4 linked regions of the Oreochromis niloticus genome follow. The protein of the gene in region 1 purifies or fractionates together with the protein of each later gene. This does not show direct contact. Links are inferred from orthologs where the notes say so. Each region holds a gene or a part of one and is shown in the gene's direction. Other genes may lie near its edges. The genes, in order: hsp90ab1, fgfr3, hif1aa and grb2b.

The links.
Region 2: the proteins of hsp90ab1 (region 1) and fgfr3 purify together in Homo sapiens (affinity purification with mass spectrometry; 3 studies listed by BioGRID and IntAct, with this or other methods). This does not show direct contact. The link is inferred for Oreochromis niloticus from reciprocal best matches to the Homo sapiens genes HSP90AB1 and FGFR3.
Region 3: the proteins of hsp90ab1 (region 1) and hif1aa purify together in Homo sapiens (affinity purification with western blotting; 3 studies listed by BioGRID). This does not show direct contact. The link is inferred for Oreochromis niloticus from reciprocal best matches to the Homo sapiens genes HSP90AB1 and HIF1A.
Region 4: the proteins of hsp90ab1 (region 1) and grb2b purify together in Homo sapiens (affinity purification with mass spectrometry; 3 studies listed by BioGRID and IntAct, with this or other methods). This does not show direct contact. The link is inferred for Oreochromis niloticus from reciprocal best matches to the Homo sapiens genes HSP90AB1 and GRB2.

The regions. Positions count from the first base shown.
Region 1 is NC_031980.2:14,202,391-14,209,234, reverse strand, and holds the start of hsp90ab1 (heat shock protein HSP 90-beta), read left to right. Parts: upstream 1-3,844; coding exon 3,845-3,994; intron 3,995-4,115; coding exon 4,116-4,322; intron 4,323-4,438; coding exon 4,439-4,598; intron 4,599-4,936; coding exon 4,937-5,070; intron 5,071-5,151; coding exon 5,152-5,457; intron 5,458-5,565; coding exon 5,566-5,731; intron 5,732-5,844; coding exon 5,845-6,035; intron 6,036-6,545; coding exon 6,546-6,693; intron 6,694-6,805; coding exon 6,806-6,844. UniProt on the Homo sapiens protein: Molecular chaperone that promotes the maturation, structural maintenance and proper regulation of specific target proteins involved for instance in cell cycle control and signal transduction. Undergoes a functional cycle linked to its ATPase activity.
Region 2 is NC_031983.2:7,173,642-7,180,677, reverse strand, and holds the start of fgfr3 (fibroblast growth factor receptor 3), read left to right. Parts: upstream 1-4,011; 5' UTR 4,012-4,519; intron 4,520-4,636; exon of another isoform or gene 4,637-4,860; intron 4,861-7,036.
Region 3 is NC_031983.2:11,962,821-11,970,758, forward strand, and holds the start of hif1aa (hypoxia inducible factor 1 subunit alpha a), read left to right. Parts: upstream 1-4,921; 5' UTR 4,922-5,217; coding exon 5,218-5,249; intron 5,250-7,938.
Region 4 is NC_031969.2:8,811,522-8,818,658, forward strand, and holds the start of grb2b (growth factor receptor-bound protein 2b), read left to right. Parts: upstream 1-4,125; 5' UTR 4,126-4,297; intron 4,298-5,708; 5' UTR 5,709-5,890; coding exon 5,891-5,968; intron 5,969-7,137. Other genes in the region: mchr1b (melanin-concentrating hormone receptor 1), read right to left, coding at 1-597, 790-853. UniProt on the Homo sapiens protein: Non-enzymatic adapter protein that plays a pivotal role in precisely regulated signaling cascades from cell surface receptors to cellular responses, including signaling transduction and gene expression.

The DNA.
Region 1 (6,844 bases):
TCTGGCTCCTTGTACTCACAGAAACCAAAAGCTGGAACAAATATTGACATATAAATAGACATAAGGGCATGATCAAATGTTTATGTTTATAGACTGAATTAATGGTTTGCCATGTATCTAGTTATTCTTCATCTTTTAATACCCATATACTGACTAAATAATACCCACTTTGGATTATTAGAAATTACCTTGAAGCTTGCCAGAGGCTCCTTGTACTCTCTTCCAGCTCAAAAACAATTCCACATTTCTATAGAATTACAAAGAAAAAAAATAAAGTTGTCAAATTAAGAGGGTGTCTGCCTTTGCTGGTGTATTTCTACAAGTAGAATGTGTGTTCCCCTCTTACCGCCAGCAGCTGTCTGATCAACATGTCTGAAGCCTTTTCTGATATGTTCCCTACAAACACCGTTGTGGTGGGGCCACTGTTCTCATCACTGTCTTTGGCATTCACAGCAATGGTTTCCCTCTTAGGGACTGCAGGCTTGCTGAGCACTGGTACTGAAGGAACCATTACTGCAGGTGTGGGGGCCATGATACCCATGTGAACTGGGATCATAGGGGCTCCTGAAACAGCCAAAGAAAACATGCAACAAGCAATTACACCATTTTCACTTAAGATCTATGACTGCAGATTAGTAAAACGATTCTCAAATATTTTCAGTAATGTAGCGAATCTCAACTACCTTCAGTGTTGCGAATATGCCTCTTAATAATGACATTGTGGCAAAACTGAAACAAAACAGGTGAACGCCAATCAGAAGGGTGCTTACCTGGGGGAAAGCCTGTGTACTGAGGAGGGATGCCTGGAGGAGGCAACAGCGGCCGATTTAAATGAGGGGGGAAGGACATTGTGGAAGTGAAGTGGACCGACCTGAAGAAGGAACCAAGATACCCGTTATCAGCAGCACCAGATGTGTAATTAAATCAAGTCCTCTAAACAATGTAAAATAAAACAAAGAGCCAAACTTTTAAAACGATTAGTTTAAATCAACAACACTATAAGAGAAAGCACAACGATGTTTATTGGTATCTAGTCATATGAATGTAAAGTACCCGTCGGTGACTTCTGCTGCCCAGCAGCAACAATACTTAAACTTAGCTTAGCTCAATGGGATGGCGTTCGCAGGGTGACTATTATAAAGTCCCAGGACCCACGTATTGTTATTGTGTTACAACGAGTTAATTTGCTCACTGTTTATGCGGCCAAAAAACTAGCAGCTTAGTTAGCTAAAGCTAGCACCGAGCACGCTCCAGTGTCCCCGGCATAGACTTAAGCTAAGCTAATATTAGCGCAACCTGGCGTTACTTAACAAACAACACTCAACTATTAGCGGGCAAAGTTAAAGTTCAAGATAAATCTACACATGCCCAGGTATACATACCTTTAATCAGGTGGTGTTTAAAAGAATAAAAATACTCTCAGAAGGTTAGTAATTATGAAAATTCCTCTAACGTTCCAAATGTTGGATTAGCACGTTGGCTAGTCGGGCCTTCAAAAAAAAAAAAAAAACATTTGACGCAAGCGCTTTACGCGCAACACTACATGAGCGCTGGCTTTGTACACCAAGACCTGACCACTGGACGGAGTTTACTAACGATACTAGTAGCTACTGCGGCAATAACTGTACTACTATTATTACTAGAGTCGTTAGAGTATAGTTTTATACTAGTATTGTAATATTAACATCAATAAGAAAAATCACTACTCTTATTATTATTAATATTTACATAGCATTCCTAAAGGTCGTCTAGAAGGTTAATGAAACATAAGGTTAGGGAGCGTTTGTCGATGTTGAAGGTTTGCTGGGTTAAAAATGGATTTCAACACTATAATACAACTCCTGCACTTGTATGTACTACTTTGGGGAAATTTTAAGACATCGTCAATTTAGATTTTTATTTTTATTGAATTACATTAATATGTAATTCAAAGACGTAGTCTATTATTTGTGCATAGGAGTTCCTCCATAATGTCTTTTACGAATAAAATAATAATTTTGACATCCGACAGAATAAATATCTGAAGATCAATTATTTATTTATTGCATAAGCAGCGTTTTGTTTTTGATGGGTTTTTTGTTTGTTTGTCTTGTTTTGTATTTTGTCGGTGCCTCTCGGAGACAGCGGCTGTTACGTGAAGACTGCGACTGACATCGCGTGACGTCACTTTAGGCGGGATTTTCATGGAAAGTGCTAGAAGAAACGAAGCACACCCTGCATGTTTTTGAATATTCCTCCATCAGATTAAAAAGATCTAAAGTCTTTGTTGGTCTGTCGGAAAATTAACGGTATACTCGTGAGTTTTATTGACTTTATTTGTTAGACTGATTTAAATTATGCTTTGATAGCATATCGCGGCAGCTCTGGAAACTAGTATAAAATAGATCGATTCGGACAATACTTTCGTTTTTGGTTTTAACGGCCACAAGATGGCAGCAATGATGCGCTTGTCTCAGAAATAAAACTGTAATACTGTGTTTTCCAGGAGATTAGTATAAAGTAGTATAAAGTGTTTTTGAATTCACTTTACTAATTAATCTTGAAAAAGTCCCCTTGTTTTTGTATACCTAATATAATGGCTTTAAATCTCCAGAGATTTGTTTTCTTTAGTACACATTACACTTCAATCCACTGAATTAATACCTGCTAAAATGTCTTAATAATATCATATTTATTTATTTAGTTATGGTATTTCCTCAAGTCTTCATTCAAACTCATCACATGGTGAATGTAGCCTTAAAACATTAACTGTAATTCACTTGGTGCACTTCTCCTTACTAGATGGCGCACCGCGGATGGATACGACTGCACAGTGAAGCACGTGTATAAAGATACCGGTCTATTAAAAGGAGGTCCCTTTCCATTTCTCTGCGTCAGACAGCGTAAGGGATAGCGATTTGGTTGCATTTTATTCAAGAAAAGTCAACGAAATTAACAAGGTATGTAGACGAGCGGTTTCTTGTTGGTTACTACGTGCTTTAGCCTTTGATATTTGACCTTTTATTAAACAGTCATTATACAGTACAGCTCGTATTCTCACGAGTTACGGTTGTAACCTTAAGTAACTTTGGTCAGGTACAGCTAACATATCACAGTAGTATTCAGAATTTTGGTTTTTAATTACTGTGGAGTAAGAAATGTTTGCACTTGTCACGTAGACGTCGAGCGGTGTAAATGCTGCACTCTGCCGCACTGCCCCAGCCGTGTGTAGTACCAAGGCAGGTGTGGCGAACATGACAGCGCTGTATCGGTTCATAAATTGTACGACTGGTCCACATTAACAGAATTAATCCTTTTAAATCTTTATAAGAGTAACGTGAACTGGCTTGAGTCGATTTCGCTTAGTCCCCGTGTTCACGTAGCTGTCGCGTGTCTATAAAACGCACGAGTTAGTCTCTCAAGTTGCCAATGCTTTCAGATTTATGCTCGTCTTAAGTGAGTGGTGTTTTTAGCTCTTATTTATTCGAATTGGTGGCAGAGCCGTTTTATATGACAGTCACGTTTGCTGTCGTTAATACACGGCTTTAAGTTGCTCTTCTGGGTGAACCTATTTTGCCGCATTGCATAAGCTTTTTTTCGTTATTTTCATCGGTAGCTTTTCCTTAGCACGTGTTTGCGGGGTCCATTGTCTGTCGCTCGACGCCATGTTGGTTAACGGCCACTTCCGCAACATGACGGCAGTTATCCATATTATGTAACCGACTTCTGACAGGATCAAACGGTGATACAGTTTGCGAAACTGAAAGTAGTTGAATATATGTAGTTTAACCGGATCCCATAATTAGCCTTATCCTGTTTTTATCGAAATCCACCCATTTTATTAAAGCATACACAAACTGTTTTAATGCAGATGCCTGAAGAAATGCACCAAGAAGAGGAGGCTGAGACCTTTGCCTTCCAGGCTGAGATCGCTCAGCTGATGTCGCTGATCATCAACACCTTTTATTCCAACAAAGAGATCTTTCTCAGGGAGTTGATTTCCAACGCTTCTGATGTAAGTTAGCAGGAGCAGAGCTTTTCATTCAGCACTGATGCATTTATTTTTAGCCATTTTTTTGTGTTTCTAAATGCTTAAAAGAATGTTAGTTTTAATCCTGTTGTTTAAACATTTGCAGGCTCTGGACAAAATCCGCTATGAAAGCCTGACTGATCCCTCCAAGCTCGACAGTGGCAAGGATCTGAAAATTGACATCATTCCCAATAAGGCTGAACGCACCCTGACCTTGGTCGATACTGGAATCGGTATGACCAAAGCCGACCTCATTAACAACCTGGGTACCATTGCAAAGTCTGGTACCAAGGCCTTCATGGAGGCCCTGCAGGTATGAAGGGAATGCATCTCAGTATGGAACCGTAGGGACGCTTTATAAGAGGAAAGCATTTTCCATGTTCACAATTAAGCTGAAATCTAACATTAGAACTCACTGTGTTCCTCTAGGCTGGTGCTGACATCTCCATGATTGGTCAGTTTGGTGTGGGTTTTTACTCTGCCTACCTTGTTGCTGAGAAAGTGGTTGTCATCACAAAGCACAATGATGATGAGCAGTATGCCTGGGAGTCCTCTGCTGGAGGTTCTTTCACAGTCAAGGTTGACAACAGTAAGTGTATTGATGTTACAATATCAGAACTAAACCCGTTTTTAAATATTGTGGGTACATCTAAGGATGTCCCTGATTTCTCATGAATTGGAAGCAGTTCTTACTATTAATGGTCTTGATGTTGTTAATTGTGTATTGGTTTTCATGTGTCTGAGGTTACGATGTAGCTTTAAAGTATTAAGAGAGTTGTTTTCAATCTTGGCGTTAAAGTTGGCATCGTCTAGCAAAGTGCGCTCCTTTAGAGGCTTAAATATGGATTTGAAGTATCTAAAAATTGAATCTTGACTCCATGGACACTTTAGTACAAAATGTCCTAAAAGCATCACAACTGTTCACAGGTGAGCCCATTGGCCGTGGAACAAAGATCATCCTGTACCTGAAGGAGGATCAGACAGAGTACGTCGAGGAGAAGAGGGTCAAGGAGATCGTGAAGAAGCACTCTCAGTTCATTGGCTACCCAATCACCCTCTTTGTAAGTGACTCTTATAGAGGACGTTGTTAGTATACCATTAAAGAACGGCAAAGTAAAAATCAAAGTAATGTGAATCTGCAGGTGGAGAAGGAGCGCGACAAGGAGGTCAGTGACGACGAGGCAGAGGAGGAAAAGGCAGAAAAGGAGGAGAAAGAGGAAGGTGAGGACAAGCCAAAGATCGAGGATGTTGGCTCAGATGATGAGGAGGACTCCAAAGACAAGGACAAGAAGAAGAAAAAGAAGATCAAGGAGAAGTACATCGACCAGGAGGAGCTGAACAAGACCAAGCCCATCTGGACCAGGAATCCTGACGACATCACAAACGAAGAGTACGGCGAGTTCTACAAGAGTCTGACCAACGACTGGGAGGATCACCTGGCTGTTAAGGTAAGCAGGTTAACCTGAACAGCTCTTCCAGGTTTTAATTGGCCTACTGGGTTTTTAACGTAGTCATAAACTACAAATAAAGCTAAACGGAGTCATTTTCCTCTACAGCACTTCTCAGTGGAAGGCCAGCTGGAGTTCCGTGCCTTGCTCTTTATCCCCCGCCGCGCACCTTTTGACCTCTTTGAGAACAAGAAAAAGAAGAATAACATCAAGCTCTACGTCAGGAGAGTCTTCATCATGGACAACTGTGAAGAGCTCATCCCCGAGTATCTGAGTAAGATGACTTGCTTTTTACCTTTAGTCTGAAAGTACTTTAATTTACAGCTTAGCACACAGTAAGGAATTGCTTAAAGGCAAAGGCTTAGTGTAGCATTTATGTTATTCCAGACTTTATCCGTGGTGTTGTGGACTCCGAGGACCTGCCCCTGAACATCTCCAGAGAAATGCTGCAGCAGAGCAAGATCCTGAAGGTCATTCGTAAAAACATTGTCAAGAAATGTCTTGAGCTTTTTGCTGAACTGGGTGAGGATAAAGAAAACTACAAGAAGTTCTACGAAGCCTTCTCAAAGAACCTCAAGGTATTTATAATATTCTGGCTACTTTTCTTTTTTTTGTGTCTTTAGGAAAGTTGGCTCTTAAAATTCTCTTCATTTCATGTCAGTGCATCTTCTTGGACCTCAAAGGTTTACCTCTTTATTCTTTAATCTGGTTTGTAAAGCCCTCTTCAAAGTAGTGTAGACTTTTTTGTGTGTGTGTGTGTGTGTAATAACCAGATCTTTAAAACCCAGAAGAATAGCTGTTTTGGCATTTATGTAATCCCATGCAGTCAAATCTGCATTAGGAATAGAAACTTCCCACATTTAGGCTGTAGACTGAAAACATGTTAATTAAAAGCCTAAAGTGACAAACTATGTAGCAGAATTCATGCAGTGTGCAATGTCAGTGTGATTAGAATAGTGACATTGCTGGCAGTCCATCCCACCTGACCATACACAGGTGGGATTGACTTTTTATTTGAATCCATTAACCCTACTGGTGTATGAGATTGTTTTTGGATAAGATGATAAATCTTATTTGTTCACTTGTAGCTGGGTGTGCACGAGGACTCGCAAAACCGCAAGAAGCTGTCTGAGCTGCTGCGTTACCACAGCTCCCAGTCCGGTGACGAGACCACCTCCCTCTCGGAGTACGTGACCCGCATGAAGGAAAACCAGAAATCCATCTATTACATTACTGGTGAGTAAAATAAACCTTAAGTAGCTTCTGAAATGGTAGAAGAGAACTGCATTTACACAAGTATTAAAAATGAAGTTTTATTCAAACTTTATCGCTTTTTTGTCATTTGTAGGTGAGAGCAAGGATCAGGTGGCCAACTCTGCCTTTGTTG
Region 2 (7,036 bases), on another chromosome or scaffold:
GAGGTGTGGGCGCCCATCGCAATTTGTGGTTACAAGGGAGTCGCTGCACGCATGCACTCGCATCGACTGTTTCCCTGTGTTCTTGGGTTTGGTCGCACAACCACTCGATTGCCAATAAGCTTGCTCTAAAAGATGCTGGGAAAAAACGCCATACTACCAATGCCCAAAATTATTTTGTGATCTAAAATAATTAGATCTATTTTTTAGATAGTATTAGTATTATATTGTTGCAGGTGAAACTAAACCATGGCAAAGCCCCATTGGTTGCACTGATTATGGTAAATAGCAAATAGGCTGTGCTTATCGTGAACGTGGCAAACCTGTTTGTTTTATTAGCCTGGAGTAATAGTCACCCATACTTCTTGAACTAATGTAAATGATGTAAATGCACCGACATGTGATTTTGCTGCAAGCTGTCCTGTTTGCACTGAGATCTGAGGAAGCAGAGCCTGATGACAAGCTGTCATGTTAGCAGCATAGCACCACTGTTTTCAATACACATAAATGGCCTCAAAAAACTTGGCACGGTTTGCAGCTAGTGATAAAACCGAAGTGAAAGCTACAAGTTCCAACAAGTCAAACAGATATCCAACAGTCGGGGCTGTGTATAAAATGTAAATAAAATTAGAAGCCAGTTTGTTTTACTGTATAACCTCGCTTCCAGATAATTGACCTTTTTGGATTGCGCCTACTTGGGCGCGCTTGTCTCTGGTTTCACATGCTTTGTGTCTGGGAACCTTTTCTCTCAGAATAAAACCGTTTTTTCTTGTTTCCAATCTCATCATTCATCTCACAGCCCCTGTGAGTCATATAGTGTCTCGCTGGAGTGGTCACAACCCCCTTGTTGAGATCCACTGATATACAGTATGTTAGCGTGTGACGACAGCAGTTGGTCACCAGCGTATGTGCAGGACCAAGAAAGCACCGCCGAGCGGAGTGCGAAGTGACCTCGGCGATCGACTCCCTCCCATTGTGCTGCATCTTTGTCTGGCCCGAAACTCCGGTGTTAATGATTAGCCCTGCTGCTTTTGTGCACCTCTTACAGACAAAGCCAGTGCGAGTCAATTGGTTGTTGCCCACACAGGCAGTGTGCTGCGACGAGGCCCAAAGAGAAAACAATCAGCGCTGCCGGCTACTCGGGGTTATCAGTGAAAATATGTGCCGTGATAAGCTGAAAAATGTAATGGGTGAAAAAGAAAAAAAGAGAAAAACACAGAATTTATTAAGGCTGTCAGTTTCTTCTGGGCATGCCAGTCTTTGGATAATCAAGTTAAACTCTAAGGACTCAGCGTTGTTGTTGTTGTTTAATTTTTAACTCCATTTCAAATGAAAAGGCCTCACCTTTCATCTCCTGCTGATCTATTCCCTCGAGGGGTGGGGGGGGCTGTAAGTGTCTGTATGTGTGTGTGTTTGGGTGGAGGGGGTGTATTATGTGTGTGAATACATATGTTTGTGTGAGTTCATTAGAAGTTAGAGTGTCGTGGGGGAGCTGGGAGGAGTTTTGTTTGTGTGTGTGTGTGTGTGTGTGTGTGTGCACGAAGAGGTCATTTGGTCAGTTTGCCCATCAGTACTTGAGCTGTCTGACTGAGCATTCTCACCATCTGTATGACCTCTCCTCCCGACCGACTGGCTTTTGTTCCCGAGCTTGCCTCCCTCCCACCGGCGTTTCTCACAGAACACTGTAGTACGAAGGGTCACCGGGACTGACCTTCATCATTAGTCTGCACTCTTCGTCTTCACCAACATTAATGAGGACCTCTTTGTTCTTTCACCATTTGACTTTCCCATGAGGTCGGGCACGGGTACAGTATCACCTGTATGCATGATGTATGTAGAAAAATACAAAATAAAGCTAAATTCTTGTATTTATTTACACCAATGAGCAAATATTGAAGCGCCCAAACATCTTTATCATACATGTAATTTAGATCCATGTCTAAAAACCTTTATTCATTCTCACATGCATGTCAGTTTGTGCACGTCTGACACATATTGTCACAAATCACTGCAGAGGAGCCCACCTCTGCTGAACAAATAGTGGCACACTCTCAACCTTCCTCGCAGCCACTTAGCAGAGGTCTGCTGCGCTTTATGGTGTCATAAAGTTGCCTTCTCAAAACACAGTTTAAGAGATGTCGGTAATTGGTGTGTTGTTTGACGCAGAGTCGGGTGCTATCGCCTCTGTCCTGACTGCAGTAATTAGCCAAAGGCTGCGGTATATGGCAGATTAAATGGGTGGTTAATGGTAATTTGCTCTTCACTCAGCACACTTTGGGGTCTGACTGGTCAAACATTTGCATTGGCTGGTCTCAATCTTGAATGACAGTTCTGACAGATTATTGCATGACTTACAGTTTCCACAGAGTCCAGAACAGTAAGCTGTAATTATTAGACAGCAATAAACCTACTTAAGGGAAAAATACATATTTAATAATGTTTAACAGTGGAAAATAGAGGTGGTACATTTTGAATCAGCAGATGCAAGACAAAGAGTTTAATTACACTACTTGATAACAGTGTCTCTGGTTTCACATACTTTGTGAAACTTCTTTTAAATTCTCAAAAATGTTTAAGCTTATGCCACCACCAGACTTCAGGATAATTGGGACACTGCCTGGCTCAGATCAGCAAAGCTTACTGAAAATGCATTGCTTTTGGCATGTATCCCTCAGCTTTAATGGTGTTTACGCAGAGCTACGCTGTATGCACCATGCACCCCGAAAACCACTGGCTGCAACATTCTTTGATATTGAGAATCATAGAGAACAGTCAGGGAGACGAGCAAAAGGAGTGATGGCAGCCATCAGTATTACTTAGGAGCTTTTTGAACACTGGCTACACCAGAAGCTCACAAAGGTGGGTGTTTTACGAGAGTGTGTTTTATTTCGTTTCCCACCTTTTTAAAAAATAAATGGTAAATAAGTTAAAAATGTTTTACAGTGGGGGTTTTCTCATATTTGCTATATTCAGGACTTCAGATGGACAAAATATAAATTCAACAAACTTCTGATCCAAAAACGTTTTTCTGGTATAACTTTTTTCAGTGAAAGGAACTGGTTGAGATCCCCCTCACTCTTATAGATAACTAAAAGTCTGCGGACACTGTATTCATTTCCATACAGCACGCTTGTCTTCATTACATCTCAGAGCCATCTACTGGTGCCTCTGTACCCACGCTGAGGGTCAGACAAAAAATTCGGGGCTCATAAAGCAGCTCAGGATTCTCAAGTTTGAAAGAAAGAGATGGGAGGCGCTTGGACCATCCATCACCGGCTGCCTCTAGCGGACCCCGGAGGGGCGGCGCGCCGAAATCTGATCGCCCTTCCCCCGCTGCTGCTGTTTGTCCCAGCGGCGCGCAGGCTGGCAGAGGGAGGCATCGTGGACTCAAGAGGAGAGATGAGCGTCACACAATGGTACACACGATGGTTCCGCCTTCAAAATAAAGGCCTAATGTGTAGTCTCCTTATTGAATAGGACTCTTTTTGATGACTCAATTGAGTCCGCCAGGCTGATTTAATTGAGTGCCGGTTTGCTGCTAACGGCAGCTAGCTGTGTTTCACTTATTTATCTCCTCAGCTGGCTCTGTTGGTATATCATTTTAACACATTTTAAATTGTAATTTACATATTTATTTATTGAAGAATGCATTCAGATTTTCATCAAACACACTGATTCACAACTTAACAACCCAAAGAGACGGTGAGATGACAGGATTTGAGCAATTAGGAAAAAATACGTTTAAAAAACAATAAATAATAAAGACTCTTATTTAAGTACACACAAGTACTGAAGCGCATGAAACGGTACGATATAACCATTGCTGCATCTCAGAGCTCCTTTGAAGATTGCTCATAGGCTGGCGAGTGCTTTTTTTTTCTTACCTTTCCTGCATTTTCATAATTGAATGAGTGCCTCCGAGCAAAGCATGCGTCATCGGATCCGAGCCAAGGATTTTATTTTGAAAGTGGACCTGGAACTCCTCGTGTTTCCCAGCCGTGCACGCTTGACGGCAGCACCTTGCAACTCCTACTTCACAGACAGCGAGAGGAGAAGAGCCACCACTCTACGTTGGTTGATCAGAAGCGACGAAACGCACCGAAACTGGCATCTGCGCCGGAGGAGACGCAAAGGAACCGCGCATCCCGCGTCCCCGTCTGCCTCGTCCACTCTGCCCACTCGCAGGACAGGATGAACGGACTTTGGAGGACTGGACACTTTGGACAACGCGGACAGCAGCGCGCGGCGGAGGACGGGATTTAGTGGAGAGAAGTTGGCTTTTCTCGGTGGCTGTGCCCGAGTCGAAGACACTCGCCTTCAAGTCGTGAGGGGGGGATTTGTGACTCTTTTTTTTCCGCTGTCGCCAAACTGCTCTCCAAGCGCTGGAACGTGAGGATTTAAAAGTAGTTTTGTGGGTTTTTTGTGAAGTTTACCGGAGATTAGAGGTTGTTTCAACCAAGGAAAGCTTGGTGCCATCTAAAATCTGAAGGCTGATCTTTTCTGTCAAAACGGGATACTGTGGGTAAATATTATAAACATTGTTATTATTATTATTATTATTATTATTATTATTATTATTATTTACAAGCAGGTTACGCAGACTCAGACACACAAGTCTCACAGCTTCACTTCCTTGTAGATGCGGACAGGTTGGAGCTTTGAGGACTGTGTACACTGTGTGAGTTGTGGAGCAGCCCCGCGGCTGTGCCACAGCACAGGTGGCGTGGAGGTCCCTGTTCGTGCGCAATTGGCGCGTCCTGGCCGGTGTCAGCAGACTTGGAGAAAATCAACAGTCAGTGCGCAAATCTATTGCCACGGGTTTGGAGCAGGAGCGCAAAGCGGTTTCTGTTATGGCTTGTAAAGGTTTGTGTGTGTTGCTGAAATTACGCACGCTGTAAGAAAAAAACAAGTGGAAAAAATACTGTAAAACATATTTGGGTTGGGAAACGTGTATGCTTTTTCCAGCAGTTGATTGAGTTTGGTTGATTTTTCAGTGAGGGGAAAAAAGTAATTTGCGCTAAAGCGTTCTCTCCACATCCAAAGTCATTCCCTTCATCCTTTCCAGTTTTTCAATATTTACAGAAAAATCCACGAATGAAGGAAACTGTGAAACTGAGTGTTTTAGAAAGAAAGAGGCCAAATTAAATCACGCACAAGGGGGGGGGTTTGTGGTGATACCTGCCAGATTTCGTTTGAGGTGAGCTCGCTCTTCATTCAGAATGAATCGAACCTGTCCTGGTTTTATGTTGTTGTTGTTTTTTTTAAATAAATAAATGAATAAAAAATCCAGCCATCCCCGTGCTCGTTAGGATGGGCACGCCGTTTCTCCTCACCGCAGTACTGACGTCTTCTCAGGTTTGGCGCTGAAATATGAATTGCACATCTCTTTCACAGAGCCGCACTCCCTCAAATCCTCTGATCATCTCTGAAGTTAGAAAGCGGCGGATTGTCCCCCCTCCTCTCCCTCTCAGTGAATGAACTGTGCGCGGTTCTCTCCCCTCAGCAGCAGATCACTCATCCCCTCTTCAAACACATGCGCATCAATGGGATTCAGATGGTGATTTTCTTCTTCTTCTTCTCCTCCTTTTTGGCCACTCAGCTCGGCTTTGACTCCCACCATGTCAACTCCCAACCCGAAGAAAATTAGCAGATTATAGCGTCCTGCGAGAGAGACGCTGAAAATGAGATTTGGGCTCTGTTGCTTTAGCTTATTAAAAAAAAAAAAAAAAATTGCTGTCATAAACAAGCGTGCGACCGATAATAGTTGTGCTAATGCTCCAAATTAATTGTATCTATTGACCCGAGAAATAATGCGTGCCAGTGTGCAGCTTTTTCAATCAGAGGCGAGCCTCAGACACTTTCGGTTCCAAATGAGACTCTGATTGCCTCTTTTCATTAGTGAAATTGGCCCGAGACCATCGCTCTGCTCCTGTTTTAGTGCCTTTACGTTTTCCTTCTCGTTCATAAAGAGAAGGGTTCATTAATCTGCTTCAGCTTGTCTAATTTGACAGAGAAAAATGATCATTACTTTCATGCACAAACACTTATTTGCTTTCATATTCCAGCTATTCAAAGAAAATAAACTTATGTGACCTTATCTGAGCTTTACACTATACCTCTGATATAAAATTTGTGCCTATATATGTAAGGACTTCTAGTCTTTCTGTTCCCCTGTAATTAGGATTCTCACATGTCTGAGGCAGTAAAAGCTGAGTTTATACCAACCTTAGTACGATTTATAACATTTTAATGTCCCCCAGTGTCTGCTAGCAGCACTTCATGTAGTCTTTATAATTTCAAAAGGGACTTCGCTGTCCATCTGTATCTTCTGCTTTAACACAGAGGACAAAACCCTGGCGTTCGGATCTTTTTCCATGTGCAGGCTGAGTCTCAGACGAGACGCCGCCCGTCTGAGTGTCAGCCCAAGGTGAGCTGAGCCCAGAGTCACCCCTGAACCTCTGACAGCTCTGAAGTGCCGAGCTCTCCTCTGCCTCTCAGCTGATCAATATCTCTTCTCACCTGAGGGCTCGTTCGAGCGAGCGCTCTGAAGAGAGGGTGGCTCAGCTATGAAGGCAGGCAAGAAGTCGCGAAGGGACAGGCAGAAGGGAGATGGTGGGTGTGAGACATGCATTGCACTGCAAAGGAAAAAAGTTGGAGTAGAGAAAGGCGTGCTGAAAAGGAAGATGACCCACTTGTGTGTCTCTTTATTACCCATCTAACCTCCACTTGGCTCCACTCTCCAAAAAAACCCTCTAATGTCCTTTTTTCCCCCCCAAGAACACAAAGCTGATTATCCGACTTAATTATTAAAGATTGCTGACACTCCATGGAGGTGTGACTAGCATGTGACTTCCTCGCGTCGCTCCTCACTGAGGATAGAGGGATGACAGGGATTTGAACCCGGGTTGAAGCGCTTTTCCGCCCCTGAGCTATTACAATGTGAAGATAGTCCTGCATGATTAATGCTCATGCATTATTCATTGCCGTAGTTGTGTTTCCCTGCCACGCTTTAAGAAAATATTAGCATGAAAATTTGTGG
Region 3 (7,938 bases), on another chromosome or scaffold:
TTCCCAGAAAAGTTACACAAATCCTGGAATGATTTCATGCACAGTTGGAATAGTTTCTGAGTGATGCGTCTCCACTCTGGAAAAAACACAAATTCACACAGAAACTCAAAATAGTGAGCTGCTCCGTCCACTGTTAAATAAAGGGTTAAAATCACCTGAAGCCTGAATATCGTCAGTATATCGGTTTCGAAAAGAGATAACGGTTGAAATTGGGTTAAAGGATCGAATTTCACTGAACTCAATTCCCAATAATAGAGTATGTGTGTTTTTTATTTGTGGCCCGCACCCAGTAAGAAAAACTTGGCATCCGTCGCAGTGATTCTCCATGTAAATTGCTCTGCCAGGCATGTAGACGATGATGCAAGATTTCATGTGAGGTGAAAGCAGCTCGATGATTCATGGTAACTGTGAAATACTGAAAAGTCTGTAGATTTCACAACACTCTTAGTATATTGTTTAACTGCCAGAGTCTTTGAAAGCTTCCAGCACTTTCTGCAGACCTGCTTGGTTAAGTGAATTCAAGTTTTGTTTTTGTTCTTTGTTTGTTTATTCTTATCCATAAAAAATATAAGAAAAACACAAAAGTCTTGAAAGTTAAACCCTGCAGTTCTGTGCAGTGCATCTAGTGGAGGGCCTTCAGCGGTGTATTTTGTCAAACCAGCAGAGAATAAACAGGAAACCACACAGCGTCACTACTGTCGCCTCTGCTAGAAAAAGGAAGAAACAATAAGTGATGCTTATTTTTCAGGGGGGTGACATTGAGTTCATATATAAATGCAGTATTGTATACTGCATGATGTTGGAAATAAAAGCAAAAACTTAAACAAAATGACAAAAAAGAAAAGAAAACCTTGTGTTGAGATGAATCTCTTTCCTCCGGAACTTGCACAGTCTTCCTGTTAGTTTGAATGAGGAAGTTTGGGTCTCGACATCTGTTTATCTCTTCAGCTGGGTGTCCTGTGGAAGATTCTGTCTCTAAATACTGCACATTAGCAGCTTAATACTCGGAAATGCCTCAAAATGAAGCCTCCTATGCTTTCCGAGCACAGAACAAACCTTTTGAGCTAAGGAACCTGCTTGAACCTGCTATGGTGATGCGGTTTCAGTCCAGTTCCCCCCTCTGAGGGAAGCAACACCATGAAATGAAAACAAATTTCTATGAGTGATTACCTCTACCCTTTGATGAAACATATTGGAGTAGTTGTGCATGATGAAAATAGCTCCATCCGTGTGGCATGATGAGGGACTGGAGGCTTACATGAGTATGGCCTCCATAGCAACCCATCTCAACCCAAAGAAATAGCTATGGTGACAATTCTGCCCCACTCTCCACCACCATCACTAAAACACCAAATGCAGGAAGATCTTTTGGTAAAATGATGGCGTTTTAGCTACTAAACTGCACTGAAAACTTTCCTGGTCCAGCACAACTTGTTGCTTGTCTATACATTTGAGCCAGTGGTGTGTCACAAATCTCTTCCTGTTGCGGTTCAAACCCCTGTTAAGCCTCTGATCACTCATTATTTAGAAGAGCCTTGATGTGGACTTTACAGCAGCCCACTAATCTACATTAAGCTTTCCCTAACAACGATGGTCGAGATGTGCTATATAAAGCATAGGACAGTGGATTAAAAAACTTTGCTTTTTGTTTATCCTTTGTTGTGCCTCAGTTTGGCAGCTTTCCCCCGGTAGTGTCTCAGTGAAGGAGAGATTTACGAGCTTTCCTTCAGCGTTCATTACTGAGACTTCCTGATAGCTGCCAGCAGTGTCTCTGCAATGACTGATTGAATAAGTGTTTGACCCTGCTGTCCTGTGCGTTTGATTGGTAACCCCCCAAAGCAGCGACCGATAATGGAAAAAAAGTCTCTCTGCACAGACGTCACATAAGTAATTCCCTATAGAAATCTATAAATCAGTAGCTTCATTTTTGTCAGTAAATGAATAGGAAATGGCCTCATATTCACTCTGACCTATAGTTAATATAAGATCATGACTCATAAACTCTTAGAATTTACTTAAAGTCATTCAGACATCTGTTCAGGAAACTGCTTCTTATCAGATGGTGTCTTTTATAACAATGACAATGCAATCTTCCTTTTGCATTTCAACATTTCTCTTTCAGAGCTGTGTTAATGCTGTTATCACACAGCAGTATTTCCTTAATGCATTCTTATATAAATGTCTTAGTTTTGTTGCTCGCACTAAACGCATTACGAAAGGCTAATCTTGCATTGTTTGTTGGCACATTTTATGCTCAAGTGTACAACAAAAAAGGTGTGGCTAACACCACCTCTCAACTTCCCGATATCATAATGTTAATTACAGTGTGGAGATAAGTAAGCAGGATCTCCAACAGCTAAGTGAATTTTAAAGTGAAAGGTCATTGTTGACTTTCAAATCGAATAGCAGCATTACGAGTTAGGCAAAATAAACCTGTAAGCTCGGTTAGTGTTGCCGAAGCACATATTGCACAGCTATGTTATAAAAAAAATCCATCTGATTTACATCTAAAAGACGCAATAGGCATATAAAACACACACACACACACAATTAATCCTATGTGGACATGCACGCATTACTTTTAACTAATTTCCTCAGGTCTCTCTAGTTTCTAGGTCTAGTAATAAAGGATTTTATCAGGATTTAACTTCAATTTCCACACTTTTGCCTTTTTTTTGCCTTTTTTGCCTTGTGTAATAAATAAAAATGTAACCCTCCCAGGTTTGTTCGATGAAATCAATATGAACCGTCAAGATAAAGTTCAATTCAGGGGCGTTGTGCCACACACCCTTCATCTAACGAGAAGTGACAGCAAAGGCTTTGTCTAACTATCGTGACCAGATGCAACTATCAACATGTAAGGCAACACAGGAAAGAATAAACTAACCTGCGACTAACTTTTTCTGTGATTTAGAGGTTGAGAACAGAATCGTTAGTCTGCGAGTTCATTAGTTTAGTTTAGTTAGTTTTTGCTGTAATTTAAGTTATTTTCAGAGGTGATTTTTCTGGTTTCAGCTGAGTTTTTATTTTTAAAAATATCTACCATTTTCATTATATGTGTTTTATTATTATTTATTATAATATGGATAGTATTTGTTAAACACAATCTTAGGAGTGAACCGTTGGTATAGAGGACTGTTCAAAAAGATGGATGCAGACACTCACTGTTGTAGATCTCTCCTGACCTTCTCCGTACAAACTAATGATCATTTGAACCAAAAATGTTGGTTTTTGGACCAAAAATGTTAATCTTCAATTCATCATTGCATACAACCTGTTACAACTGATGTAATTTGGCACATCTCAGCGTTTTCTCCCTATTTCTCTTCCTTAACAATGGCTTCTTGATAGCTACCCTTCCACTGAGACCATTTCTGATGAGGCTTCAGTGAACAGTACATGACTCAACTGAGGAGTCAGATAATCCTCTGTAGGTCCTGTGTCAGGTCTTTGCTGAATTTTTCCTATTTCTTAAAGACACGACTTTCAGATATTGTTGCTATGATATACCAAGTTTTCAGCAAATAGTTCTTTGGAAATCACCGCTTTGGTGCCCATCAAACTGCGTTATTTTTGGCATTTTTAACAGCTCAATCTTTAAATATAACTAAAAAACATGTTTTTGTTACAGGCTGATAGTAACAAAACAATATAAAAATTTGAAATTTGAAAACAATTCGGTCAGGTATAGGAATTGGATTGTCAATGAGTAAAAAAAGCAGCCAATGTCCAAAGAGAACCTTGGAAAGACCTTCACAAAGCCTGGAGAGCTATTGCTCAAGACCACATTAAAATTTACAAGAAAGTCTGTCTCCTTGGAAACAAAATATAAAGACATGAGAGATGACTCAAGGCTTTTACACTGTACTGTGCTACAAAAGGATCATAACACATTGTGGTAATTGAGGTAACTAACAAGCCATAAAGTAAAAAATACAGACTCAGTAAATATATTTGTATTTTATTGGTACATACAGTGTTGTAGCAATGTGAAAAGACTAAAGTGAAAGCCATTTGGTGTGCATTATATTATGTTGCATTATTATGTTGTGTAATAATGGATATTATTATATTGTTATGTTAGCTTTTCTAAGTACACAATATTATTTTAGTTATTTTTCAGTCCAGTTATTTACAGTTAACCAAAACGTTTTTTCATACATAGTTTCCCCCTTTTGCTTTTCTTTTACTGTCATTTTTCTTTTCCAAAGTAAAACTGAATCACAGATTTCGATAATTATTATAAAATGAATTCCACAGTGGTGAAGGAGGAGAAGTCTGATTGGACAGAAATATCCAGAGCAGTGGAGGAAATTTACCAAGCCCGCCTCCAGGACCAAAGAAATCCTCATCTGCCCTTGAACTTTTTAACTTATAAAGTCTAATAACATTTCAGAATTTTTCCTGGCTCAGACTCAAGGGGCGACACGACAGTAAACTTATTATCAACGCACAATAAAGCAGTGATTCTGATCAGTTTTTTGTTTGAATAAAGAAACTCGAATATTATAAAACAAAAAAAATGTTACAACACTGATGATTTTTGTTAATGTCAGTCCTTTGTTGGGTGCTAAAAAGCCTTTAATGAAATGTAACTGCATATAAAAATACTGTTGCATAATAATATTATTGTTTAGGCTTAAATACAATGCTGTGACACTATTTGTGGTATAACTCACTATGACTGTTTATGAACAGCTTTTGTAAAGAACTCTACATTTAACACCATTTAAAACAGTGCTGTTTTATTTTATTACATGTGTTTATTTACCGCAGAGTGATATTTAGCTATTAACAGACGCTGTTTGTCTCGCTGTTGTAGGCTCTTCTTTAACATTACAGCAATCTGTCGTTTGTCGGTGGGACGATTTCCTGTGCGCGTCCTCGATGAAAAAAAAAAAAGAAGCGTGTGACTGCGCGTCCCCGGAACGGAGGAGGAGTGAACACCTCTACTCTGAAGCAACATTGTCTCGGCAATTGAACGTCTCTCCAGCGTGGCAATATTTCAGAAGCAAAGTCGACGGAGGATCTGCTTTTAGCGGTCGAGAGTTTGATTTGTTGAACTAAATCCACAAAGAGAGGACTCTTATGCAATCCACTTGAGGATTTACGGACTGATATCGGTAGAAAATCGTGGGATTTTGGTTCATTTCTCGACGGGCCCGAACACAGCTCTATACCGATAGAGAGACTCCACACAGGTCTTTTCGTCCTGAAATGGACACAGGAACTGTACCCGAAAAGAAAAGGTAAGAGCAGTGCCGGCTAATGCTACGTATGGGCCCAGTTTTTAAGCATAACTGGAAAATATGTGTCTCTATTTAGCGTTTGGTTATTGTGAGACCTGCGACACTGTGGCCTTTTTTTCAAGGTTAAAGGCTAGTTTGGTGTGTTTCGTCAAAATGTGTCGGCTAGCGGCGCTGTTAGCAAGCGGCTAACGCCGCTAGCCTGCAAAATGTAGGTCAACCTAATAAAAACTTTGTCAAAAAATGTTGAGTTAACAGGTAAACAGCATCAACTGGTCACTACCCTTTACATCAATCTAGACTTAGTATTTTTTTACTTACTTACGTTACGTTAAGTAAGTGCTACTTAGCCAGCAACGTTTTTGTTTGTGACCATTGTTAAGACTTCCTGCATGCAACATGAGCGTTATTTACATTTGTTTTGAGTGTGACACTTTGCTTATTATATAGCTTATTAATAGTGTATCACTGGTGGTGTACTGTTTGGACTTTAGGTGCCAACCTTGACACTTCAGTGAAAGGCTGCCAGCGCTCATGTGATCAGTGTGGTGTGCGGTTTCTGCTGTAACGTTGAGGCTTTTTTTGGGAGCAGGCCTTGGTATGAGATTTCTGCGTATGGATTTGTGGTTAACTATAAAACCAGAAGAAGGCATAATTATCTTATTTTGGAAAGCCTTGTAGAATATACTGTACCCCCTCAATACTGAGCAATATCAATTGCACAAAATCCACCACCCCCACCAGAGTGATCAACTTTAATAATCATCAGAGTGCCATAATATCATGTTAGTGGCTAGTAACTTTTATTTTTACAGAAGCCCAATTGATAATAAGTCTTCATTTGGAGGTCTGTGTGCTAGAACAAGAGAAAGTTGATAAACCATTTTGACATAAATAAGTTGAGTTGTATCTTAAAAAATAACTAATTCATTAATGTTTAGGTAAAATACAAAAAAACAAATAAGTATGGCTATTACAAGTTATCAGAGCCCAAAGGTGTGTGTGATGGAAAACGAGGATTTTCCAGCCCCAAACGGGCCTTTCTGGGTGAGAAGCACATTATTAAACAGTCTGTCACCTTACTTTTCAGAAGTCAGTGCATACAAAAACAAACAATCAGTCAAAATAAAATAATAACACCTAATATTTAAGGTTGGTATTATTTTTAAGTAAACCTTACTTAAAAGTGGTTAACACATTTCTGTCACAGGTCTGGTGGCTAGAACCTTTATTATTAAATGTAGGAAATCCTTAACATTTAGCCACTGTAACCATTACTTTCCCACAACAAATAAAATGTGTACAACTGTAATACAACTCAACTGCACAGGGATTAATCCAGCAAGACTACTGCAATATGTAGCAGATTTTCATGGGTTTTATTGCTGTGCTTGAGTGAAAAAGTGGTTATTAGTATTGACTGTAGAAGAGGATAACTTGCCTCCACTCTGCAGCAAGCGGATTATTCATCTGGGCCTTTCTGTCATTCTTGGATGTTCTAAAATAGGCAGACAGGTGATGAGATTATGCTTCTGTGTATAAAGCTTAGATTAGACTACAAAACAAACAGAGGATAAAAGATGGTTATAATGGTAACAGCAGTCACGAGACCAAAAAATAGTCTGATGAACAGAGTGAATCCTCAGATTAAAAACACAAAAAAACACCAAAAAAGGTGGTCATAAGATGGTGAAAGTCATGAAAGTGAAAACAACCTGCAGGTAGGCTGATGGCAAAATAGTAAGAATAACACTGTTTTCAGAAAAGCTTGCCATGTGTATATGCAGTTGTCTTTAAGGAAAACTTGTTATGTGTAATGATGCAAAATATGGTGGGAGGATCTCTAAAAACGGTTGGTGAAACATTTGTCAGAACGACATTTTTGAAACATTGGCAACTCAACATGGGTGCAAACTGGTTTAATTGAACATCCTAAAAGGTGCACCGGGCTGTTGTTGAGATCTTATCATGACTGTTGTGTTTATCTGTTACCTGCGTAGTTACATAAGGAAAGTAACTGTGACACTGGTCACCCTGTAGATATTTTTAACAAATGAATACTCCATTTCCAGGCAGTCACCATATTTTAGTGTAGATTGCATTCAGGGGCTTTGTTTATTGTCACCTAATTTGGAGTTTAGGTGAAAGGCTGACATGTAGATTAAAATGTGTTGAAAAAAAATTCCAGTGTGCAGTCTGGTTTGATGCAGATCTGGCTGGTGTCTGTGAGGTGCCTTTGTAGTATTACTTCTGTCTCATCTCTTAATCACTAGGGCTTGACGTCAATAGGAGTGGCCAAATGTCTGTGTGTGTGTGTGTGTGTGTGTGTGTGTGTGTAACAATTCGCTAGCTTGTAATTTCCTGGTTCCCTTGAGGGATTCAAGTAGCAGGCTAGTCTGAACTTGAAAGAGAAATTGGGTTACTTGATAATATGAAGCATAGGGGGTGTGTTTGTTTTTGTTTTTTATGGACTTTTTTGTTTTGGTTTTTCCAAATAAGTCAAAAAATGTGTGCTGAAGGCTCACATTTATCCAACATTTGAATAAACATTCACTTCAGGCCCTCAAAGCTTTAATTGTGATGACTGATTTTCTTAAAGCAAAAAAAGCACTTTACAGAAAAGTAGAGGAAAGCCCCTGCTGGGGTTGTGTTGTGAACTGTTGTATAAACAATGGATCTCTATCCATATTAT
Region 4 (7,137 bases), on another chromosome or scaffold:
GGAGAATCTTGAAGAAGACACTGCAGATGACCACTAAAGGGAGAGCAAAGCCCAAGAAGAACTGGTACAGGGTGAACCAGTATGTATCTGTGGCCGGGTTTGGGAGCAGGAGGGCGCAGCCGACCGAGCCGTCCTTGAGACGCATGAGTCCAGTGTACATCCAGACAGGAGTGATGGAGACCAGAGAAAACACCCACACCAGCGCCACTGCCGCCCCTGCCACGAAGGGGGTTCGAACGTGTTTGAAGCGGATGGGGTGGACTGTTGCCAAGTAGCGGTCCAGTGTCATGACAGTCAGGATGTACGTGCTGACGATCTGGCTGTTGGAATCAAGCGCCGTGATGACGGTGCACATGGTGCCACCGAAGCACCAGGAGCCATTGCCCACGAGCTGGTGAATGAGAAAAGGCATGCCAAGGAGAAAGAGGAGGTCTGCGATGGACAAGCTGAAGATAAATATGTCTGGCACTGATGGATGACAGCAGAACTTGGTCTTTTTCACAATGGTGTAAATGAGAATGCAGTTCCCAGTGATCCCAAAGAAACAAATAACACCAAAGATGCTGGGCATGAGCACATTGTTGTACTGCTCATGATCTGGTAGAAGGGAAAAAACATAATGTTCTCCATCAGCTTTCTTTCCTTATAACTTTTTTTTCATTCATTTGTTTTCAAAGTCTCAATAACTACTTTTTACATGAAAATGAACAACATAATATTCAATCTATGATGATAAATCTGCATGCATGTGCCCAATTCAACAGAAAAACGAGAAGAAGAAAATCCTACCTTTTTCCAGATTGTCAGGTGAGCTGAGGTATGAAGAAGATGAATTCATAATGTAGTCCTCCATCCAACCTCGAAGAATAATACGAATATACTCTAAAATAACTTATATATCAGTTTAAGGCAAAGAAGACAGATGAGCTTGAGAAAAAATGCATATTTTAAATATACATATACATACAAAAATACAGCTTACACTGTTGCTTTATGGCTTTGATAGCAGAGGTTCAGCCGCGCGCGCATGTTTTTGTTGTCCAAGACACTTCAGCAGGGCACGCGACAAATAAAATGCGCGCGCTCGCTTCAGCTCTGAGTCTGATATTTGGCAACAGCGAGATAAAGTACTCCGCAACTCGGAGACGCTCAAAAATCATCATTCTTATTTCTAATTTTGTGTCGTCACCCACTGAACAGCTGTGAGCTATACTCTCCGCCGCCAGTGTGAGTAATACTGGAAGTCATTCTTGAGTGAATACCTAATGGGCGATTTCCTCGCTTCATTCCACCTTATTTTCTTTTAAAAAGCGTTAGCCGTCCGACCACATAGCTTTATCATTCACAATGCCGTTATGATGGAGGTCACACGATAGGTTATCAGTTATAAACAGTCTAATTAATTGTCTAACTGAACAGTGTCACTCTCCATATTGTTTGCTGTGTAATATTTGGAAAAGATACGCGCATTTCTTATCTCAACTGTGCGGTATTAACATGTGACTAAGTATTTCTGGTAGCAACCCTTACGTGGTTAAAGACAGAAAGAACCGATTTTTGTTTAGTCCCACTAGGTGGCAGCATTGTCAAAGCCTGCTGTCACAGGCCAGGATTAAAAGCAGATGTGCAAGAAATGAAAACAGGAAAACAGAAGACCAAATATTCCAGCAGTTAGCTAAGTAAAGCTTTATGAGATGGCCTTTATGAGAAGCCATATGGATCCTTGAACATAATATTGAGAAAGTTGCATTCCTGCGTTCTCTAATGTGTCCCTTTCTCTTGTTTTTGTATATATAAATATTGAGTGTATATATTTCTCCTTTTAGCTATTGGGGCACAGTTGGTTTGGAGCACCCACAATTTCGTTGTACATGGACAATGACAATAAAGGGCTATTCTATTCTATTCTGTTCTATTCTATAGTAGTAGAATAGTCCAACTGTGTTTTGTCTAATTAATTACACTGCGGCTAAAATGGATGAATCTGTGTCCTTCATTTCCCATTTCAGACTAAATCAGATGGACATAAATGCATCTAAGTGAGAAATGTGTTATGTATGTGACTATAGTTAACAGTCATAGTAGTTAATTGTAGTTTGTAGGATAATGATAGATATGGGTGACAGTTTTGTGGCCGACTGCAGACAAGGGAATGAACTAGGGTGTGGCGTTGGTAAATGTTTAGTTTACAATGAACTGGTCATGTTCACTTCTCTCCCTTTACATATTTGGCGGTCCTTTTGTCTTGTCAGCTATGGTGTTGACATTCGGTTAGGGGGTTTAAAGTAAACTAGAAGATGACCAACCTACAAAGTTAAGTCAGGACACACAGCTGAAAAACTCAATAAGAGTCTGTGAATGAATTAATGCATAGCCATCCTGCAGCTTGCCTGTGACTGAAAGAGAGACTCAAGACCTGTGCTTTAGAAAAGGATCGGGGCCTAAATGAGACAACATCACAAGTTTTCAGGGCCATAAAGGTTATTCACTCATTGGAGCAGGTTATTTTCAAGATAACAGATCAACACTTACAAATCCAAAGCCTACTGACCAATCAGGTCTCTCTGAAAACACTGTAGTTATTCCCAGAAGAGCCCACAGATCAATGAGTTGTCAATGAGATGGTCTCAAATTTCTAGCTTTCCATTAGGATCAATAATAAGGGACTTTATCACTTGTTTTATTTTTTTGCTTCCTCCAAGCCCTTTATAGCCATTTCAACTCTACATGAGAGTCCTAAAGTATTGCAGGCTCGTTGACCTTATATGCCTTCTATTCACCACAATTATGATTTTTTTTGGCATCTCACGACCATTAGACACCACAGGATTTTAGCTGAAAGAATACGGATAAACATATTGTGCACACGACATGATGATGATGATGATAAATCTTTATCCGATTTTGGGAGTATTCTTTTGTTACACAACTGAAATGATGAATAATAATATATTAATGATGGTGATAATATTATCTGGCAGGTGCCTCTCTGTCAGATATATTGTGATAGCATGTGGCAGTGGAGCTGAATCAGTGTTAGAGAAGGTGGTCATCGTTTTTGCTGCATACACTGAAGGATTTCAGCTTCTTCGGGAAAGAGCCATCTCATCCTCTTCTTTTATACGGCTTCTTTGTTTCATCTTCCTATTTAGTCTGTTGTCAATGTGGATGCCCAGGTACTTTTAGTCCTCCACCACATCAACATTCATGTAACCATCCTCTTCTTTCTGAAGTCGATCACCTGTCTGGTCTTATTACCACTTACTACCACTTCATATCATCCTATAGTACTCTATACTCCTCTTCCGCCTGCCCATCACTAATACACCCAACCAGAATCAGATTATTGTCATCAGATTATTTCTATAAGTGCCATGACCTGCAGTTGTACTGAACGTCTGTGTACAAACTACACAGAAATGGGGACAGCAGACTCTCCTGTAGAGCTACTATACCTTCACCAAATCAGACAAAGCCCTGCCTAATCTCACAAACTGCAGCCTGGCTATCAGGTAGTCAGATGGATTACTTGTGGACAAGTTTACTCACATTTCCTATAGCTTTTCTTTCAGTAGCAGCGGCTAAATCCATTAAGTCTGATCTGTTCACAGGTAGTGATGTTAGTGATAGTACTGGCTTGCACAGTTGTCATCTTTTGCCAGCTTTCCTTCCTTTGGTTGCAGCTGAGTTTCTTTCTTTCAGCTCGGATTACATATTTTATTTCCTCTTTTTCTCTCCATGTTATAGTTTGTTCTTCTTTTGAGGATTATGAAAGCAGTTTGGTTCTGACCATGCTGTGGTGTCACTGCCTCTTGGATAACCTTTCAGAGTGCCGTTTTCACGTGATCAGATGGTGTAATTGCTGACGTTAGGTTTAGTTAAGCCAGATTATTTAAAAGTTATCTTGGCTAAATTGATCTCAGTGCCTTAGTCACGTGGTATAAATAGATGGTATTTAGCTGTTGATTAAAAAAAGAAACTGAACGATTTAGAGTGAGTGAATCTTAACAACTAATATGTCTCTGTGAAAAGTAATTTTCCTTAACACTGAAAAAGACTAGCAGGGAGGAGCTTACTTACACGGAGGCAGATCCTCCCAGTTCTTTGGAAGGAAGCGGAAATGAGCGTCATAAACCTTATGCTAGTGGCTAGTTTTTTAGGCTTCTAGGACGGGTGTAAGCGACACCACACGTACCTTGCTGGTTGCCTCTAGAGGAAGCAGGGAGTGGATAATTACACGACAGAGTTTTGCTGGTTTTTTATACAGTGGCACTATCGAAACGGAATATCTAAAGTGGTGAGTTTTCAGTACTCGTTGTGTCGGCACAAAAGTTGTGTACTGTTTTATTTGCTAACGCTGTTTTAGTGAAGTTCAGTAACGTTAGCTGGGCTAGCAGTAGCAATAACAGCTTGCGCTATGTTTAAAAAAAAAAAAAAAAAAAAAAAAAAAAAAAGCTGTTTTCTTCCTTTTCACATTTGCTAGCGTGAAACTAGCAACTAGGCCTCGGGTGCTAAGAAACACCCCACACTTATTTCAGACCAGCCACCAGCTTTAATTGATGTCGATGTCAGATGGTCCGGTGTGGAAGAATTGAGGTTCGGGTTTGATAACCATACTGCATCGCAGTTATTGTTGTCCGACCGTTAGCCGGCATGCTAGCTGTAGCGTTCTAGAACAGTGGGCGCAGTCTGTTGGCTGGAACGGAATCGATTCACTCGAGCCCGACTAAAAAAAAAGCAAAAAGCTGTATAAAACCATGCTCTGTTGCTCTTCATGCCCTTTTTGAAATGAAAAAATTCCACATAATTTTCACACTAATATGTGCGTGTGAGAAGGTTGTCATGTTTAAGGTTAGCTACAGTTTATATCTGCCTTTGGACTTCAAGCTTCCCTTTTTAATACTAAGCCTAATGCCACCTCTGACAGCGACGAGCCCTTTTGTTCTTTTGTTTTCAGTAACGCTGACTGGCAAATGAGTTGTTTGGCGTTTTGTTATTGTAAAAAGACACAAACGAAAGCGAATGTAGTAACGTTTTGGACTTGACGAGTCGGTGACGGCAATTCGTTTTCTCTAGAAAAATATGTCGTGTGTCGTTTGTTATTGCCTAACAATTAGGTTCTCAGAAATGAAAAGGAAATGCAGATTTTCAAAAGAGGAAAAAAGGATTTTTCATCCGTTTGGTGTTTCTCTGTGGTCATCTGGTGGGCTGTCAGGTTTAAAGGCCTTATTAGACGCACGGTTGTATTAGCGAAAGCCCATCAGGGCTGTACGGTAGCATATTAGCAGCAACTTAATTGGATAGCGTAACTTTATCTGTTTAACTAAATAGCCGTAGGTAGGTTTAGCCAGCGTATCACTGTCATCTCTGCTTAAGTAACCACCGTCTTATCTTTGATCGGGCCAGGTGGTTGGCTGTCTGGATGGGCTGTTGAAATTGACACTCGATGGAGTGAACTTTGTTCCCTTATCCTCTGATAATTTCTGGTTAGAGGTTTGCCACTGGTCATGAAATTGTGCTGTATTTTAGAGGCTGTTCAGAGGTCAAAGGGGATAAAGTTGAATCGTATGGCCAGTATGCATTTTTAGTGAAAATTTAAAGACTAAAAATGCAAAACAGACAATTTTAATTTTGCTTCTTGGTTTAACATTTGCCTGTCTACAGTTTTAGTTTTTCACGTTAGGTTTTTTGGTTTGTTTGTTTTGCAGGTACCTTTCTGCCACCTTTATGTGAGGTCTCAAACCTAAGGGAACGGGTCATTGACGGGAGGAGAGACGCAGAGAAAGCATTTGATCACAGAAGCCTGGATACGTGTTTTTAGTTTTTTTTCCCCCTCTTCAGTCACTGAAACGGCTGCAGATAAGCAGTTTTACAGCACGCTATAAGGACCATGGAGGCCATTGCCAAATACGATTTCAAAGCTACTGCTGATGATGAGCTTAGTTTCAAGCGTGGAGATGTCCTCAAGGTAAGTGACAAGTATTTGAGCATTAAATGTTCAAATTTGTCTGTTTTGCTCATAATTATGAAACTTTGGAAGGCGTATTCTTGCCCTAAGGTTTTGTTTTTATCCATTACTGGCACTGTTGAGTAAAAGTGCCATTAAAGTTAAATCTAGGCAGTAGTGGGCTATTATAGAAGGAAACAAAATCTAACACATCAGGTAGTTTGGGATGTAGCTCAATATCCAAAGTTCACCACTATCATGTGATTATATGCTTGGTAATTACATTTGATGGCATAACCTTTATGCTTAAATGTTTCTGCTATTTTTAAAATCATGAATTATTCAATTAAATTTACTTCTGTTGCACCAAATCACAACAACAGTTGCTTTAAGGCACTTTATATTGTAAGGTTAGAGCCCTCTAATGGTAGAGAAAACGCCAACAAAGAGACAATTATTGTAAATAGACATCATCAATGTGACTTTTGAGAAGTCACAATAAGAGATGAAAGCTGTAAAGGTTTCTTTTATGGACTAGTAATATAAACCTGTGGTCAAGTCTTCCTCATCACAGTAAATTGCTTTTATGGGCAAGGTCTGCTTTGCTTTGTGATATAGGTGGATGGAAATTAGGGGCAATAACATGCAACATGCCAAATTTTGTAGTTTACTTTTGGGGGTTGGGGGGGTTGTTTTTGTTTGAGGTTTTTTTTTTATTTTGTTTTTTTTATCATTTAGTTTTACTTTGCAGTCAGCTTTGGCGGACGAGTTGACGGTTCTGTCAGGGGAATGGGTGCTGTTTTCCCTGAAAAAGAGATTTGAGCAGAGAGTCTTGAAAAGACTTCTTATCACAGCAGGAGGGGGGAGGCCTAGAGGGAGAGAGAAAGTCGGATTAGGAAACACTGAGCTAAATATAAATTCTATTAAATTTGCATATGAGACGAGGAATTACTGAACTTTTTCACTAATTTCTACTGCTGGCTGTCTTGTCAAGCTTTTCACCAGATGGCTGAGTTCCATCCAAGAAATTAGTAGGAAATGTCTTTTTTTATTTTTTCTTTCAATTTACATAATTAAACATTAAATACATGCATTAGTGACTGGGAACGTCATGTACTTCTATAAAAGACACTTAGAAAAATCGAACACATACGGCAACATTTTATTTGGGGGGGGTTTTGTTTTTTCTT